Oryzias latipes: one gene and its partner. The protein of the gene in region 1 interacts with the protein of each later gene in a biochemical or structural test. Links are inferred from orthologs where the notes say so. Each region holds a gene or a part of one and is shown in the gene's direction. Other genes may lie near its edges.

Region 1 (8,265 bases):
TTTAATTAGCTATAGCAAATAACCTTTAAATTGTATTTTTGGGTTTTCCCTATTTTCCTCAGAAACTGTTTATATTTATTTATTTTTTCCTGATTTTACTGTTGTTGGGTAAAAATAACAACATTTTTTTTTACATAAATCAGTTACTAGTCAAACTGGGATAGTCTTTCGACAATTTTTTTTAACCAACTGCCATCACTAGTGACAATGTGATATGCATGCAGTCAATACTTTTCCTACATGTATCAATTGAACATGTGTCCATACATGAAATAGCACTTTGCCTGGATGTTGTGACAGTGTGAGAAGCCAAGCCACAGATTCAATAATGTGAACATATATGTTATTAGTTAGCCTCTCTTTTTGTTCCTTATGCGAATTTCCTCTTTTTTCTTGCAGTTAACAAGTAATGTGTTGACTTACTTGTAAAGCTTTTGTCTCTTTATGTACCATCTGCTTTTTTTGGTAATTAAATTATTGCTGGCTGTGATCAAATTAACACAGATACAAGATGACCATATTAGAAGCAAAGGTCACCAACAACAATTTGATTAAATTTCACTCAGAGTTTAAATGAAATTAGAATTTAGTTTTCTTTATTTTTTTTTTCTTCTTTCAGTTTTTTAAAACAGAAATATTTAAAGAAAGAGTTTCTAAAAAGTTAGATTTAAATCTGTGATTCAAATGACTGCGCCTCTGTGTTCAGTTTGTTGTAACAGCAATTACCATCCCTTTTGGGGGTCTTTTTCTGTGAGCGGTAAAATCCAAAACCCTTTGAAGACTCCATGCTTGTTTAAATACTTGAAATTTGTATTCAGCTCCTATACTTTTATTAGCAGTAGCGCCCTGGATGAGCTAAGGGTGAATTTTTGTGGGGTAGAGTAAGGCCATCTTGCATGCATTAGGATCAGAGTTTTTGAGAGCCTGAGTCGTTTTGAATTGCTAAGTTGCTGAAAGACACAAAGTAGGCCTTGCCTTTGGAGAAACAAGTCAGATAGTTCAGCAACTTTTTTCAGATTTTATACAGCAACAATACGGCAGACTGTTAGCATTCCGTGAGCAATTTCATTTTGTTTCTTTAAAAAGTCTATAAAGAAAGTTTGATCTCTGGTCACTTTTCTCTGGGATACTTCATTTAACTCCTCTGACATCTCCTTTTGGCTAAACCTCTCCTCCCACTCCTTTTCCTTCTCCCCCTGCCCTCTTTGACCTTTTCTCTTCTTCCTGTCCCTTCCCCCATCGCAGCCAACCCCCACCATCTTTTAAGCCCACTCAGGGTAGAAACACACCAAATGCAGCGATACTGCCATGCAGCAGCTCCATTCATTCCCTCCAAGCCTGCTTTTCTTTGCTCAGATGATCATGCTGCCACTTTAAATGACAGCTGTTCTGACTGTTGTTTTCACCGCCCTACAGTGAGGAAACGGAGAAGGAGCTGTGCCTTATTGTTTGAAATGATGCCCTAAACCAGACCATGTAAAACACAGCCCTGTTTACTGGTTTAAAATGCTGGAATCAACTCTACTTTTTGTTTATTGTTCTACTTTTTTAGATTTTTATCAGTTTCTGTAGGCCGTCACGTGTCCCACTTGCAACCTTTTTTTTTATTTGTGTGTAAATAGATAGTAAACTGCAATTTTGGATGCAATTGTTAAAAATTTAAAGTGAGCCACTTTTGAATTAGAAATCAAAAAGAAAACTTAGAAATGTTTCAGATTTTTTGTCATGGCATTTGGGGCCCTTTCCCATGCCTACATCCTGCCTTGGCAGTTCACCAAAAAATTGCCTCTGAGTTGCAGGTGGGATAGTTTGCATGGAGTAAGCCTGTCTTCAATTTCCATTATCTCTTTGTTTATACTCTATCCCACTAGCTTACAGCCCCTCACAACCCTACGCTAACATTAGCAGTGCAACAAAGAAAGTAAGCAATATTTGAGCCATCCAGCGAAATAGTTTTGAGCCAGATAACGGCTCAAAAGAGAAAAACAAAGACTTAAGGCCCGTACACACCGGGACGAATATTCGCCAGGCGTTATTCGCCAGCGTTTTTCGCCACGTTTTTTGTGTTCACACCCAGGCGATTTTCGCTGACGGTGAGCCGAGCGAACATGCAATTTCATTCCCTGACATTAGATGGCGCTTAATGTAAACAGAAATACTCCTGTACACAAGGTGGCGCTGCGCAACTTTACGCTTCTTAAAGTCGCTTTTCACTCAGAAGAAGATAGCAAGTATTTACGCGCTTGTCAGAATCAAACAAAGAAAACATGAATATTTCAAGCATCAGTAGCTCCAACTGGTACTTGGTAAGGGGATATTTAAGAATGTCCGTCATTATTTCTTTGCGGCAGTGTTGACGCTACTTGGCGTCTATCTTCTTCGCTGGTATGTGTGCTCAGCAAGGCAGTTTTGTGTTTGAGCGCCCCCAAGTTGTGTTTTACTGTAACTTCAGAAGCTCCAGACACGTGTGCAAAAGCGCCATTCTCATTGGTCGAATAGATTTCGACGCGACGCGTCGAAAAAAAAAAACGAACCCGAGGCGTTTTTTTTTTTGACGCTTTGTCGCGTGGCGTTTTTTCGCGTCGGCGTGCACACTCTCATTGGTGCCCTTTGTTTAGTCACGAGGCGTTAAACGTCGGCGAAAATCGCCGGCGAAATTCATCCCGGTGTGAACAGGCCTTTACATGGATCTATTTCTCTGCATGTGGATGCATTGGAATGGAGTGGAGCAGGGGAGCTTGTGGCCAACCGATTGCAGTTTGTATGCAACAACCACGTTTTTTCCCTCCGTTTTATTTACTTTCGGCTCTTTCTTATTCACCACGATTTGAATAAGGAAATACCCAGAAATGTAGTTTTAGTGTTAATTTTCTTTATGTATTGTGAAAATAATGCTACAAGAACATGAAATAAACACAAAATAACACCATTTTTATTTGAGAGGGTCTTTAATAAGAAACTAATAAAATAATAATGTTTGTTAACTATATTTTGGTACAGGCATTGGTTTTAGTTTCTAATACCAATAAAGTAAAAAGCTCCAAGTCAAAAAGGGTGGAAAAGGTTCATAAAAATATCTCAATAGAAAAAAATTTATTTAATGGAAATCTCTAGTGTCAAGTTATTAGTGTAGCATATTTCCTTGCAATGGGGAAATTAAAACCAATCAGGAACAAGTCACGTAGGAAAACAAACGCCCGGATTGGCTGAGACGTGACGCTGGTTTTAAGGCGCCCCGTCATCTATTGGGGGGGCGGCGAGTGAAGGGAATGGGCGCCTTGAAACCGGTGGAATCTGCAAGGAGTGAGAGCGAGCTTCTGGACTTCCAACCGCCCAGCGTGTGAACCGACGCTCAGCGTGAAGTTTAGCCCCAATGTTCTAGATATAGGCCATTCGGTGGTGTGTTTCCCGAATTTCGCCGAAGTGAGAAGCTTAATGTTTGGGAGACGCTGGGATTTTTTTTTACGGCTGAAGAAAACTGACTTGGAAGTGTTGTTTTCCATTGAGTGGGAGTGAGAGTGGACGGCTTGGAGTCACTTACAAAGAACACTAAGAAGTCATGACGCGACGGACGCTTTTCCTGGAGTTATTACCTTAAATACAGGGAAAAAACTCGATTTGGACTATCTTTTACAGTAATTGTTGGGACTGTAAGTTGAGTTTTAAAACCGCTGCGGACTTTTTGGTGTTTTTAAGCCTTTTCGAGTTGCCCTTAGTTGGATCAAAGTTTTTCTTTCCCTCCCCCTCCTCCTCAACTATGGCGGCGGCCAGGTTATCCACTGACTCCTTGTGGCTGTGGATCATGTGGCTTGTGTGCGGGCTGTGTATGCCAGCCGCTTCGGCTCAACACTACAGCGACAGTGGAATATCAGTTCCGGAACACGGATTTTGCCAGCCCATTTCCATCCCGCTTTGCACCGACATCGCCTACAACCAGACCATCATGCCAAACCTCCTGGGCCACACAAACCAGGAGGACGCAGGACTCGAGGTGCACCAGTTTTACCCGCTGGTTAAGGTCCAGTGCTCTACCGAACTGAAGTTCTTCCTGTGCTCCATGTACGCGCCGGTCTGTACCGTGCTAGAGCAGGCCATCCCCCCGTGTCGGTCGCTGTGTGAGCGGGCACGGCAGGGGTGCGAAGCCCTAATGAACAAATTCGGCTTCCAGTGGCCGGAGCGACTGCACTGCGAGGCTTTCCCGGTGAACGGAGGCAGCGAGATCTGCGTTGGCCAGAACACATCCGAACCCGGCTCACCCTCCTCCTCATCCCCACATGTGCCTGAGCTTGTAACGGTTCCACCCAACAGGTTTCCGAATCCACCTCAACCTCCACACAATTCCTACCACCAGTTCTCCTGTCCCTTGCAGCTGGAAGTGCCTTCCTACCTCGGCTACAGATTTATGGGGGTCAAGGACTGCGGGGCCCCCTGTGAGCCCACTAAGCCAAGTGGGATCATGTATTTCCGAGAGGACGAGGTTAAATTTGGCCGACTTTGGGTTGGCATCTGGTCCATCCTTTGTTGTGTGAGCACTTTATTTACTGTGCTCACATATTTAGTAGACATGAGGCGGTTCAGGTACCCTGAGCGACCCATCATCTTCCTATCCGGTTGTTATTTCATGGTGGCTGTTGCATACGCTGCTGGGTTTTTCCTGGAGGACAAAGTTGTCTGCGTGGATAAGTTCAAGGGGGAAGGCTTCAGGACTGTAGCTCAAGGGACGAAAAAAGAGGGTTGCACGATCCTCTTTATGGTGCTGTATTTTTTTGGAATGGCCAGTTCCATCTGGTGGGTAATTTTATCCCTCACATGGTTCCTTTCTGCTGGGATGAAATGGGGTCACGAGGCAATCGAAGCAAACTCCCAGTACTTTCACTTGGCTGCATGGGCGGTACCAGCCATCAAAACCATCACCATACTCGCCATGGGCCAGGTGGATGGCGATGTCCTGACAGGGGTGTGCTTTGTCGGGATCTTCAACGTGGACGCCCTCCGTGGGTTTGTGCTGGCTCCACTTTTTGTCTACCTGTTCATCGGCACGTCCTTCCTCCTCGCTGGCTTTGTGTCCCTCTTCCGAATCCGCACCATAATGAAGCACGACGGAACCAAAACGGAGAAGCTGGAAAAGCTCATGGTGCGGATCGGTGTCTTCAGTGTGCTCTACACAGTACCAGCCACCATAGTGATTGCGTGTTACTTCTACGAGCAGGCCTTCAGGGAGCATTGGGAGCGCACCTGGCACATGCAAACCTGTAAGCGCTTTGCTGTTCCATGTCCGGTTCACAACTTTGCTCCCATGACGCCGGACTTCACTGTGTTCATGATTAAATACCTGATGACCATGATAGTTGGAATTACCTCTGGCTTTTGGGTGTGGTCAGGGAAGACTCTTCAGTCATGGCGGAGGTTCTACAAGAGACTTGGCAATGGCAACCATGGGGAAACAACAGTGTGAAAATTGGAGGAAATAAATTGCGTCACATTACAGTTTTGGACAAAACACCATAAGAAATGAGGTCGAAAAGCTTTTAAGTCAACATGTTTCTCCCTTTGGACCCCCCCCTCAGTATTTGGCAACAGCAAAACTCTTATCTGTTGCCTCAAAACGTCGGACGAACCTTTATTTCGCTTGTTTCTGTTGCTCATCAGTTACATCAAAACCATTGCTTTCCCATCGATTTTCAGACAAAAACTGGTGTTAAAGTCTGTGCTAGTCCCTGGACTGAAATCCCAGACTGGTGAAGTTACTATTTGCATATTATCAATGGTATCCTCATGTCACAATAGAAATATCATAGTCCATTTTTTGTTGCCATTTTAAGGTGGACTAACAGGATGGACTCATTTGTCCAGAAGCGTGCCTGCACGGCTCCAAATGCTTTTAATGGTATGATTGTTGAACCACCAACAACCTTTGACTGTGAATTCAATAGACATTATGTGCTTTTAGCTGAACACGGAAAAAGCTGTATTGTGTTAGGTTTTCAGCACACAGCTGCATCTCTTCAAGTGAGAGAAGTTCTTCCAAGTCTGTTTTATGTGCCAAGTTTTTCACAGAAATATTTTTCTTCTATATTTTCCTTTAAAAAAAAAAACCAAACGATTTTAATGTCTGAGACTGAAGGGTATTCACTAAAGTTACTAATGGTCAATATAAGGATGAATGAAGTTTTCTTATACTGGTTTGCACCGTTATTGTTAAGTGTAAAAGAATGGCTGTTACAGAACTGACTTACCTTGGATCTTGCATTTTAACGAAGCCACACAAATGTCTAATGTACGCGCTGTAACTGAGACACACCAAGCCCATTGTTGGTCTCTGTGTGTGGTCCTTCCGCAGTGGGATTCCCTATCAGACAGACTTTCTGTTAAGCCTCAAAGACACCCAAAGTAGCATTTTCCTGCCCCACGTTTAATCCGTGGGAGTGCAAATGGCTGCTCTGGTGCTCTGATCTTATTTTGTTCTACCTAAAGAAGTTCACACCTGCTCAGTATAACTTTTACTTCCTTACCGTCTTCCTTCATGTTCTGAAGTTATTTTTTGTGCTTCTACACAAGCAGACTGAACAAGTTGTGATGTTATTTTAGTGTCTGGATTATTTTAAATATCCTTCAAAAGAACAGTGAAACTGCTGGTCTCTGTTCAGACTTTGTCTGATCTATTAGAGAAATGTCAGTAGAAGGTCAGAGGTTGCAGGGATTTTTCTATTTGAAAATGCAGTGTAGGCAGATTCGATTAACTTTAGCCATTGTTTAGTGTTTTCTAGGGACTAAATCACCTCAGCGTGTAACAGATTGGTAACGCAACGTGTGTGATGTCCACTTTATCTAAAACGGGACATTGAATGTTTGTCAGATCACATGATCAGAACATATATATATATATATATATATATATATATATATATATATATATATATATATATATATATATATATATATATATATTATATATATATACAAAAAAAGTTAATTATCCTTGGAAGATATGCGCGGTATCAATAAGGTGATCAGTTTGATAGGTTTTAACTTTAACACTACGAACATGTTTTTATGGGGGATGGCACAAGTCACAATGCTGCTCTATCCACCCTGACTAAACAATAAAATTAGGAAAACATACGCGGAATCTGAATCAGCTGGATGGTGGCATGTGACCATAAGGTCATTTTGCTCTTTAACAACATAGTTTCTCTGTCTATGTCCTGTGTCCCTTTATAAAACATAGGAACTATCTGTAAGATTGTAGGTCAATGTGCAGTTTCATGGTCAACTTCAGATCTTTTAAATCTCCAAAGCTGTGCCCTCAATCCATCTATATTTTTATTATTATTATTATTGTTAAGAAGTTTCTGCTTTGTACCTACCTTTGTGTTATCCTAAAGGCAGTTTGTATATAGTAAATTTGTGATATTTTCCATGTGAATGTACTGCATACCTCAAACCCAGGTTAAAGTCGGCTCAAATGATTGACGTATTGGAAGTGAGTCGGCGAATCCACAGTCAGTCATTGGGTTGTTTTTTTTCTTTTAACCAAATATGATAAAGTAATTCTGCTAATGCCTTGAGACAGCTAAGATCTGCCATTTCCAATGACACTAGACTGACCTTTCCTCTTTCATAATTAACTGTTTATTTTACTTTAACAACAAATCCAAATCAGCAAGTAAAACATTTGAAAACTTTGTATTTATGAGAGGGTACCTTTTTTTTTTTTTACTTCTTTTCTCTTTTTACTGAGATAAGCCTTTTTGCAAGTGTACATTTGAATAAAAGTGATATAAAGTTTGTAAGGCATCCACTAGTCTCTGTGTACACATTTTTGGTTTACAACGAATCTCTATCTTGTTTGTTTCATCATTATGAGGACCTCGTAATTATAATTTAAACTTTGTTTTTTATGCTGACTTAAAAATAAAATTTCCATATATTTTTCAATTTAAGTAAAAGGAAACATTTATGCTACTAAAAGATATATAAAAAAGAAACCTAAAAATAGGCTCATAAACTTTATTAGATTTCTTTTAGGCTTAAAAAATGCAGAAAACATGACACAAGCCTATATTAAAAAACGTAATTTGAAAAATTCATTGTTTTTTTTCAAAGCAAAATAGTATATACTAGAAATACTAATTGTTAAATTTTGAGAAAACCTATAGTTTTAGAAAAACTAGTAACACACTGACCTCTCATGGCCACATATAGAATCAAGAGTTTTTTTCTTTTTGGTTCAAGCTATTTTATCCAATATGGTTTTTAAAGATC
Region 2 (7,728 bases), on another chromosome or scaffold:
GAGGCTCCTTTCACTCTGGATGACTATTAATACACGTTCCTTCTCTTTGACATGTTGTTGTCACGTTCTGCAGCTTTTTTCTATTTACCCACCTAAAAGTAATCAGACAGACTTATAGATCTACTCGTCAGATCTACTGCTAATGGGAACCAACAGCATTTTATTCTCTGAGACACACTCCTGAATTCAAAACTAAGATATTATACGTTTCTCGCAGATTTTTTGTTTTTCGATCCGATTCACTGACCTAAAATTGATCCTGGACAGATTTAGCCAAAAATCCTACCAGTATGGCTTAGAGATAAATACCTGGGTACTGCAGGTGAAGTTTTCCAAATTCCTTGTGATTTTTGTAAGACAATCAAGTGAAAATTAAATATGTGAACAAACAAACAAGTATTAATGACAAATCCATTCACATTTAAGTTTTGTAAAGTTCACCTCTCTGTTGTTTTTCCACATCAAAACAATCCAAACTATACGGTCACGTGTTTTTGCTCAATTCCAAGTTTTTTCTCACATTGACGGCTTGATCCTTTTTTGCTGACATCACACACGTGTTGTCTGCTGTGGTTACACTTGGTTGTTTTTACGTTATAGTAAAATAAACCTACTGTACCTCAATCCAAATGGTATTCGCCAATATTGATTATTAGTCATATATTTCATTTTGGAACAATCTTATAATGGCATGAGTCGATTAAATTAACAACGTGCCTCAGTTGATAGATTGTTACACACCTAGTGAATCAGCTTTCAATGATTCACACGGGTAGATGGTTTTTATGCTGGATGCCCTTCCTGTGTTTTTCCTAAATTTGTGTTTCTTCACCCTCTTGATACTTGGCTAAGAGGGTTGGTGATCATCACTCATGTGTTTCCATTTACAAGTTTTATTACATTTGCAAAAATTGCATAAAGAATATAAATCAAACTAAAGGTTCCCACTTGAACTGATTCAAAGAAGCAGACCTTTCAAGTTTATTGGTGTGAAAACGCCCTATTGTTCCTCGCCATGTTCTTGTGATGGAAGCAGGACAGCAGTCCAATGAAATGTCCTTTCTGATCAAACCTTCACTCTGTGGGTTGCTCAACAGGTCCACATGTTATGGCTTGCACACCTGGACAGGTTTTCATCTCAGATTTGTGTTGTTTCTGGCAGGTCGGCAGTTCAAACCATATTGTTCTTCACTGGTGCAAAAAGTAAACACCTCCACCTGCATTTAGGGGAACGGCCTCTCCATGTCATTGCATGGTGCTGCCTTCTTCTCCTGGTTGGTTAGTCTTGACCCTACCTCTGTTCCTGCTTCCCAGGGTTGTCAAAGAAGAGATTTCCGATGACAACGCCAAGCTGCCATGCTTCAATGGCAGAGTCGTGTCCTGGGTAAGTAAGACGCATCCTACAGCCTTGCTGTGCTGATCTTCTCTGCTCTCCTGAATCCACAGCTCCAGCCACAGAAATGTGGCTCACTCCTAGATCACGCACACAAACACATGTAACACCCCCACAGGAGGGAAACGCTAACTCGCACTCTTCAACTGAAGTGGAAATCTGTGACTGATCCATCACTGAACCACGGCTACAAAAGTCAATCATGTAGAGCTGAAATTAGTCAGTTTATCTGTGGAATCATGTAGCTCCTGAGTGGTTTTATTACACACAGTAAACAACATTGTGAAAGCAAGTTTCCCTTTGGGAAGAATAAAGACGGTTTATTTTTACAGTTTAGCTTTGTTAGAGCAGGATTTACGTCTTCATCACTGTTTTGTCAACCAGGACAAAGGAGTCAGGTTAGAGCTTCCTAGAAATATTGATCTAAAACTAATAAAAAGGACATGCAATTTCGTTTGATAGGATGTGTATTCAATCAGCTTGATGGCTTTTTTTTTTAACAGTCCTTGATGTTTTACATTATTGATCTCTGAAGGGAGACTCATTATTCCTCCCTGAATCCGAAGGTCAGGGGTTAGTCAGGGGTTAGAGTTGTGCACTTGTTAGAGCCGTCTTTCTTAGAAACACTTAATTAGTGTTGATACCGGGGGCAAAGCTCTAAGCCTCGGCTTGTTTATCAGGTTCTTACTTTGTTATATTAGTGTCATCAACCCATACATTTCAGCTCATTGTCTTTTACACCAAACTTCAAGCAAAAGCCCACATTTACTGCTTCCGCTTCTCCAGGGTTTGGACGGTCATGAAAAACCTGGAAACGTTTCGGAAATTAAAAATGCAATGTCTAAGTCCTTGAGAAGTTTGTGAAAAACAAAATCTTCAGTAACATTTTGGAAAAGTCATAACAATGCAATATTTTGAATACAAAAAACATAAGATAAAATAGTTTATGAGATTCAACTTTTAATTGTGGCAGACGTTCAACTTCACCCTATCAGTGATGAGAGTTTGTGTTGCCATAAAGCAGTTTGAGTTGTCGTCAGTTCAGCGCATGGCGCGTTTAGCTTTCTACAGTGAAATGCTACGAAATGCCGGTAAAAATTTAGCTTTAACCATGAGTGGTTTTTCTAGCAGAGGCATCAACCGTTCCTAAAACACATTTTGCACCAGAAATGTGCAAAATGCAGGCTTTTTCTCCAAGTCCTTCGACATCAGCAGCATGAGAGAAGCGGGGCTGGTCAGAGAATTAAAAAAAACAAAAACAGGTAATGATGGTGTTACTATGGAAGCGTATTGCATTCAATAAAAAAAAAGAAAAAAGAACTGGTGATCTACGTTCTAAATTTTTTCCGTCATTTTCGTTCAAATATTTTTAGGCACTACAAAGGCGAAGAACTCCAAACAGGCTGGGCACTAACTTTATCTGCTCATGAAATCTATAAGATGAGCTCTGTAATATTAGTGGATAAAGTCTGTAGGAAGACCAAAACAGGCGATATCATGACGAGCACATAAACAAAACAGATCATGTCTAGGACATGCACACATTGTGGCTTTTCAGCTTTTAATTGCAGCTCATCTTATAGTCTTCATGTTAGCTTGTAGTTCTTTGCTTTTTTAGTTCACTGATTCTTTAACGTCGGGTCAAAACACGTCCCACATAAAAGTCTTTTTTAAATGGATAAAAATCATTATTTTAAAATGGATGGACATACTCACAATGTTAGATCTAAAGGAATTGTGAATAGTAGATAATTACTTTTTTAGAGATGGACGCCATCAGGTCACACTAGTAACCAGCATTGAAAAACCTTAAGTATTTACAAACATTTATATCAAATTAAATTTGAGGGTTAAAAATGTCTAAAACAATAAATATCATGAAAATCAAAACAATTTTTTGAACAGTAAAAGGAACAGATGAAGTTTTTCTGAAGGTATTTTGTCCCAACTCTCAAGAACCAATGAGCTCTTAAAAATATCAGGAAAGGTCTGATTTAGCGGAACCGACTAGGTCTGACGGAAATGTGTTTGTTTTTGGTTTTGGAAATTCTGTGAAAGGTTATGGAAAAGTTTTGGAAAAGTTATGGAAAACCATTGCTAAAAAAGTGTACAAACCCTTCTCTTAGATTCCTTTCAAAATAAGAGCTTTAACTCACCTGCAGGTTTCTGCTTCTTTTAAAATGACGTGTCTCATAACTGTCTTATAAACCTGTGCTGCTGGCTGAATCACTAAGTCCACCAATGACTTCCCTCACCAATAAAACACAAGTCTTTGTGGTTTAAATAACCACTATGATCATCTTTTGATCAGTGCTTTTTTTTCATAATTATAATCATGCGGTTTTTAGCCAAAATCTAAAAACCTGTGTTGTTTTCAAGGGCATAGTTTCTTCAGAGCAGCAGTACTTCATCAGAAATTCGTCTCTGAGTTGTGGGCGGGACATTTGAGAGACCCACTTCCCATCATCTATATGTTTAAACAATCCATTGCTACCTTAAAACCCTTCAGACCCCCAACCTAACATTACTGGTGCAACAGCAATGGCAAGCAATATTGGAGCTATCCAGGCATGCAGTTTTGAGCCAGATGCCAGCTCAGATGAGAAAAACAAAGATGTCAGTCAGAATGTAGCGGAGCAGGGAGCTTGTGGCCCACCGACTGTAGCTTCTACGTCACAACTACAAGCTTTTTCAAACAACATCTTTCACCTGCTCCTAAATGCAATTTTGAACTTTATTTTCTTTATATATGTTCTCCATCATGAGAAAAATGCCACAAGAACTTTTTAAAAACACCAACAAATAACTTTCAACTGGATGTCTTTAAAGGAAATATTAAAACTGTGAATGGAAATGTTATGATTTTTGAGTTTTGATACAGAATTAATACAAATTAAATGTGTTATTAAATGTTGTGTTGCAGTTTATCGATTTTAGGGGCATTTGGGGGGAAACTTTACAAGCCTTCTAAAAAGATGTTTGAGCTGCTTTTATAAAGGATGAGATCAGATAAGTAAACTTCATTGATCCTGCCGTGGGGAAATGTAATTGTCACAACAACTCTGGAGATCAGGCATCAAGCTACAAAGAAAAACAAAAGGAAAGTGTGTAAAAAGATGAAGGTTAGGGCTGCACGATATGAAGAAAACTCGCGAGATGCGATTAATGATTAATATTGCCATGGCGATATAACCTGCGATATATGAACAAATAGCAAAACAACCATAAACATCCTTTCCATTTCACTGCAGTTTAATATAAATACGAGTCAACATACCTTAAGTTAAACTCCAAATGAAACTAGTCTAAATGGGAGGCGAGAATCTAACATAAAACGGCTTCATCCAATTGGTCAAATGCATAAATGGATTTATTTGATTCACTAAATACTTCAAGCTGCCATAAGATTGTTTTAACACATTTAAAGTAACCATTTATTGCGATTTTCGCTGACCTTTACAATGTTTGTATTGCACAGCTTGATATCGCGACGAGAAATTTGCGATTTATTGCGCAGGCCTAACGAAGATGGGTTAAAAAATAAGAGGTCACGGATATATTTGTTAAAATATTCTTACTGCAAAGAAGGCTTCTAAAATTACATAAAAACAGAGGCAAATGTCTTATAAGCACTTCAAAGTTTTTTTAAGAGAGTTGGCATCAAATGCACATAATTTGTCTATCCTCGGAAAAAAGCTATTGTCTTGGTTTTTTTTGTGTAAATCATCAAAAATAAAACTTAAAACAACAACGCCATTACCTAACCTTGTAAAAAGTACAGTTTGATAATATTTTCATGAACAAGAAATAGTTGTTACAATTCTCAATCTTTATTTTTCTCCAAAACTGGAATATCTGCCCTCAATGGGGGCAGACATGTGAATGAGGACCCAGCCTCCTATAAAAGAGCAGTTATGAAAGCAGACTGCTCCTCCTTTTAGAACTGTACCACAACAACACACCCATGAACCCAGAGGTTGAATAAAAACCAATCGTGGCGCCCACCGCTGATGGCCTGTGCACGGGTATCTGCTTTAACATTCTCATTTATGGCTTAGATGAAAGGATGGGTTCCTTTTGCATCATTTGAAAGGAGACATTGCTGGGTAAAAAAGCTGGACACTCTTTCAAGTTTCTGTGCTGTTTACCGTCTGCCCGAGTTGTTTAGCCATGGCTAGGCTTCTCAATTTATAGCCTTTCCTCATTTATACATGCACACAGCGAGTGTCTGTTTCCACAGCACACAAATATCCCCCGTGTGTTTTCCTCTGTGTGTTTTCTTACTCTCTGTTTGCAGATTTTAATGACACAAAAATCCGACTTGTTTGTTCCGTGTTTCTCAACTGTTCTTCACCAGCATGTTCTCCTCTTCCTCAGTTGGTCCTGGCAGAGAGCGCGCACTCCGATGGAGGATCTCAGTGCACGGAGAGTCACCCCGAGCTGCCCCCTCCCCTCGAGAGGACGGGAGGCATCGGAGACTCGCGGCCCCCCTCGTTTCAGTAAGTAGTTTGCTGCGCATTTGTACTACAGGTGTACTGTCAGATGCTGTCAGGCACAGCTCTCTGCACTCAGTGTGCCTTTTTTTAATGTAGCATGCCATATGTGCTAATTAAGAAGTGGATAGTTCACGGGAGACTCATCCTCCTCATCATCATCAGCTGCAGCAGCAGCTTGTATGGAAAGTGTAGGTGCCTGATTAGGCGATGTGTGAAGATAAAGTCTGCTCAAACTGGAGTGTCAGAATACGCACGGCTGTCTTTGTGGGTTCATTTCCACTCGTGCAAGCATTGGAGCGAGGTGCTCGTCCACCCCTTTGTGTAAACATGATGGGTACTCCACTGCTGATTCTCCAAATATAGCCTTTGCGGCGCAAAAATCTTCAGGCAAAAACTGGCACTGAGTGAGACTCGTGTTCAGTCACTCGGAGCATAATTAACTAATAAAAGCAGAGTGCCTCAAAAAACACATTGGTGCTTTAAAGGTCAGAAGAGGAGATTCCCCTGAGCTTCATCCGGGCCACCTCAGCGCCGATTTTGGCGTAAAACTGTCAAATTTGAAAATATCACAGCTTCGACCAAAGAGAAGCGCCTTGCTAAATATAGCCAGGAGGGGGGTGTGGGCTGGGGCTGTTTCAGTCATAATGTTGGGGCAGTACTGCTGAAGCTCTATATTGAGAGCGTGCAATCTGTCATGTCTCAGTGTATCTCTTTATCCAGCGTTTGACATCTCAGCTCTCTTTTGCCCTCTATGGGACGCTCCCCGCCATGTGGCTGTCAGCCGTCTTGATGATTTTATTGTTCCCCTCCATTTCTCAGTGCTGCCACCTCGTGCAGGCTAAACGCACTGCGCTTCTTACCCCACGTCATTTCCCTCCACCCCCACCCTCCCTCGCCGTCTCTCCTTGAGTCCGACAGACGAGCTTTTCTCTCAGGGAAGCGGTGTGGTGTATTCCCTACAGCAAACCTCCTCTCTCCTTCTGTCTGAAAGGAAGCCCGTCCTCCGGCTTTACCTCTCTGTAAATAGCCAGAATACTATTACCACTTCATTTTCTCTTTGTGCTCTATTCATGCGTTGCATGTATTCCACACCGTGAATGGCCGTGTTTGAAGAATAGGTGTTCTGGGTTTAGAGTGAACCCAACTGATGTGCCTCTGCCTGGTAATCCGGATTAAAGTACGCATCTCTATTTCCCAAGAGGAAAAGGCAGACGATTGGCACCAGTTGGGGAGGGGAAGGTGGAGTGGGATGGGAGGGGGCCTCTGTAGAAAATAGACAGAATTTGTTCCCAGCTGCTGGATAAATCTCCCTTCTTACCAGCAGCTATCAGCAGCCTGACAGACAAGCAGCCGTCACTGTCCCCACTTTGCTGTCCAAACAATAAAAAAAAAAAGCGTCTAAAGCACGCATCTTCAGACATATTTGCATACATGCAGTGACCTGTGCTCCAGAAGTCGTGCTCAGGTGCACCCATCTGCCCGTATGTAGCATGTGAGCATGCCCCATTGAGCAATTTATCCCGCTGAGTGAACACAGCGGCCCCAGCATCCAGTCTGCTTTTAGAGATTTAATTAGCATGCGTCCTCCACACACTGTTGTGCAGCCTCTATGTTTAACCACAGCTGATTGATGTTTATTCACATGTTTCTGTTGCACCTCTTTTTGTTCAGTTTAAGCGCTATAAATCCGAGTGCACGTGCGAGGAGTCTTTTTTTTAATTTTTAAGTGCATCCAGGCGCATATGCATGAATTCAGGAGCGATTACTCATGGAGGTAGAAAGTGAGTTTGACAGACTGACAGGACTGAGCAGAGTTCTCACCGGCTTCAGGTTTCCTGC

Evidence for each region. The genes of interacting proteins can lie anywhere in the genome.
Region 2: the proteins of frizzled-7 (region 1) and dvl1 form a complex in vitro, tested with the Homo sapiens proteins (2 studies listed by BioGRID and IntAct, with this or other methods). The link is inferred for Oryzias latipes from reciprocal best matches to the Homo sapiens genes FZD7 and DVL1.

Annotation. Positions count from the first base shown.
Region 1 is NC_019879.2:16,921,776-16,930,040, reverse strand, and holds frizzled-7, read left to right. Parts: upstream 1-3,282; 5' UTR 3,283-3,757; coding exon 3,758-5,455; 3' UTR 5,456-6,889; downstream 6,890-8,265. UniProt on the Homo sapiens protein: Receptor for Wnt proteins.
Region 2 is NC_019865.2:20,959,875-20,967,602, reverse strand, and holds part of dvl1 (segment polarity protein dishevelled homolog DVL-1), read left to right. Parts: intron 1-1,314; coding exon 1,315-1,384; intron 1,385-5,770; coding exon 5,771-5,892; intron 5,893-7,728. UniProt on the Homo sapiens protein: Participates in Wnt signaling by binding to the cytoplasmic C-terminus of frizzled family members and transducing the Wnt signal to down-stream effectors. Plays a role both in canonical and non-canonical Wnt signaling.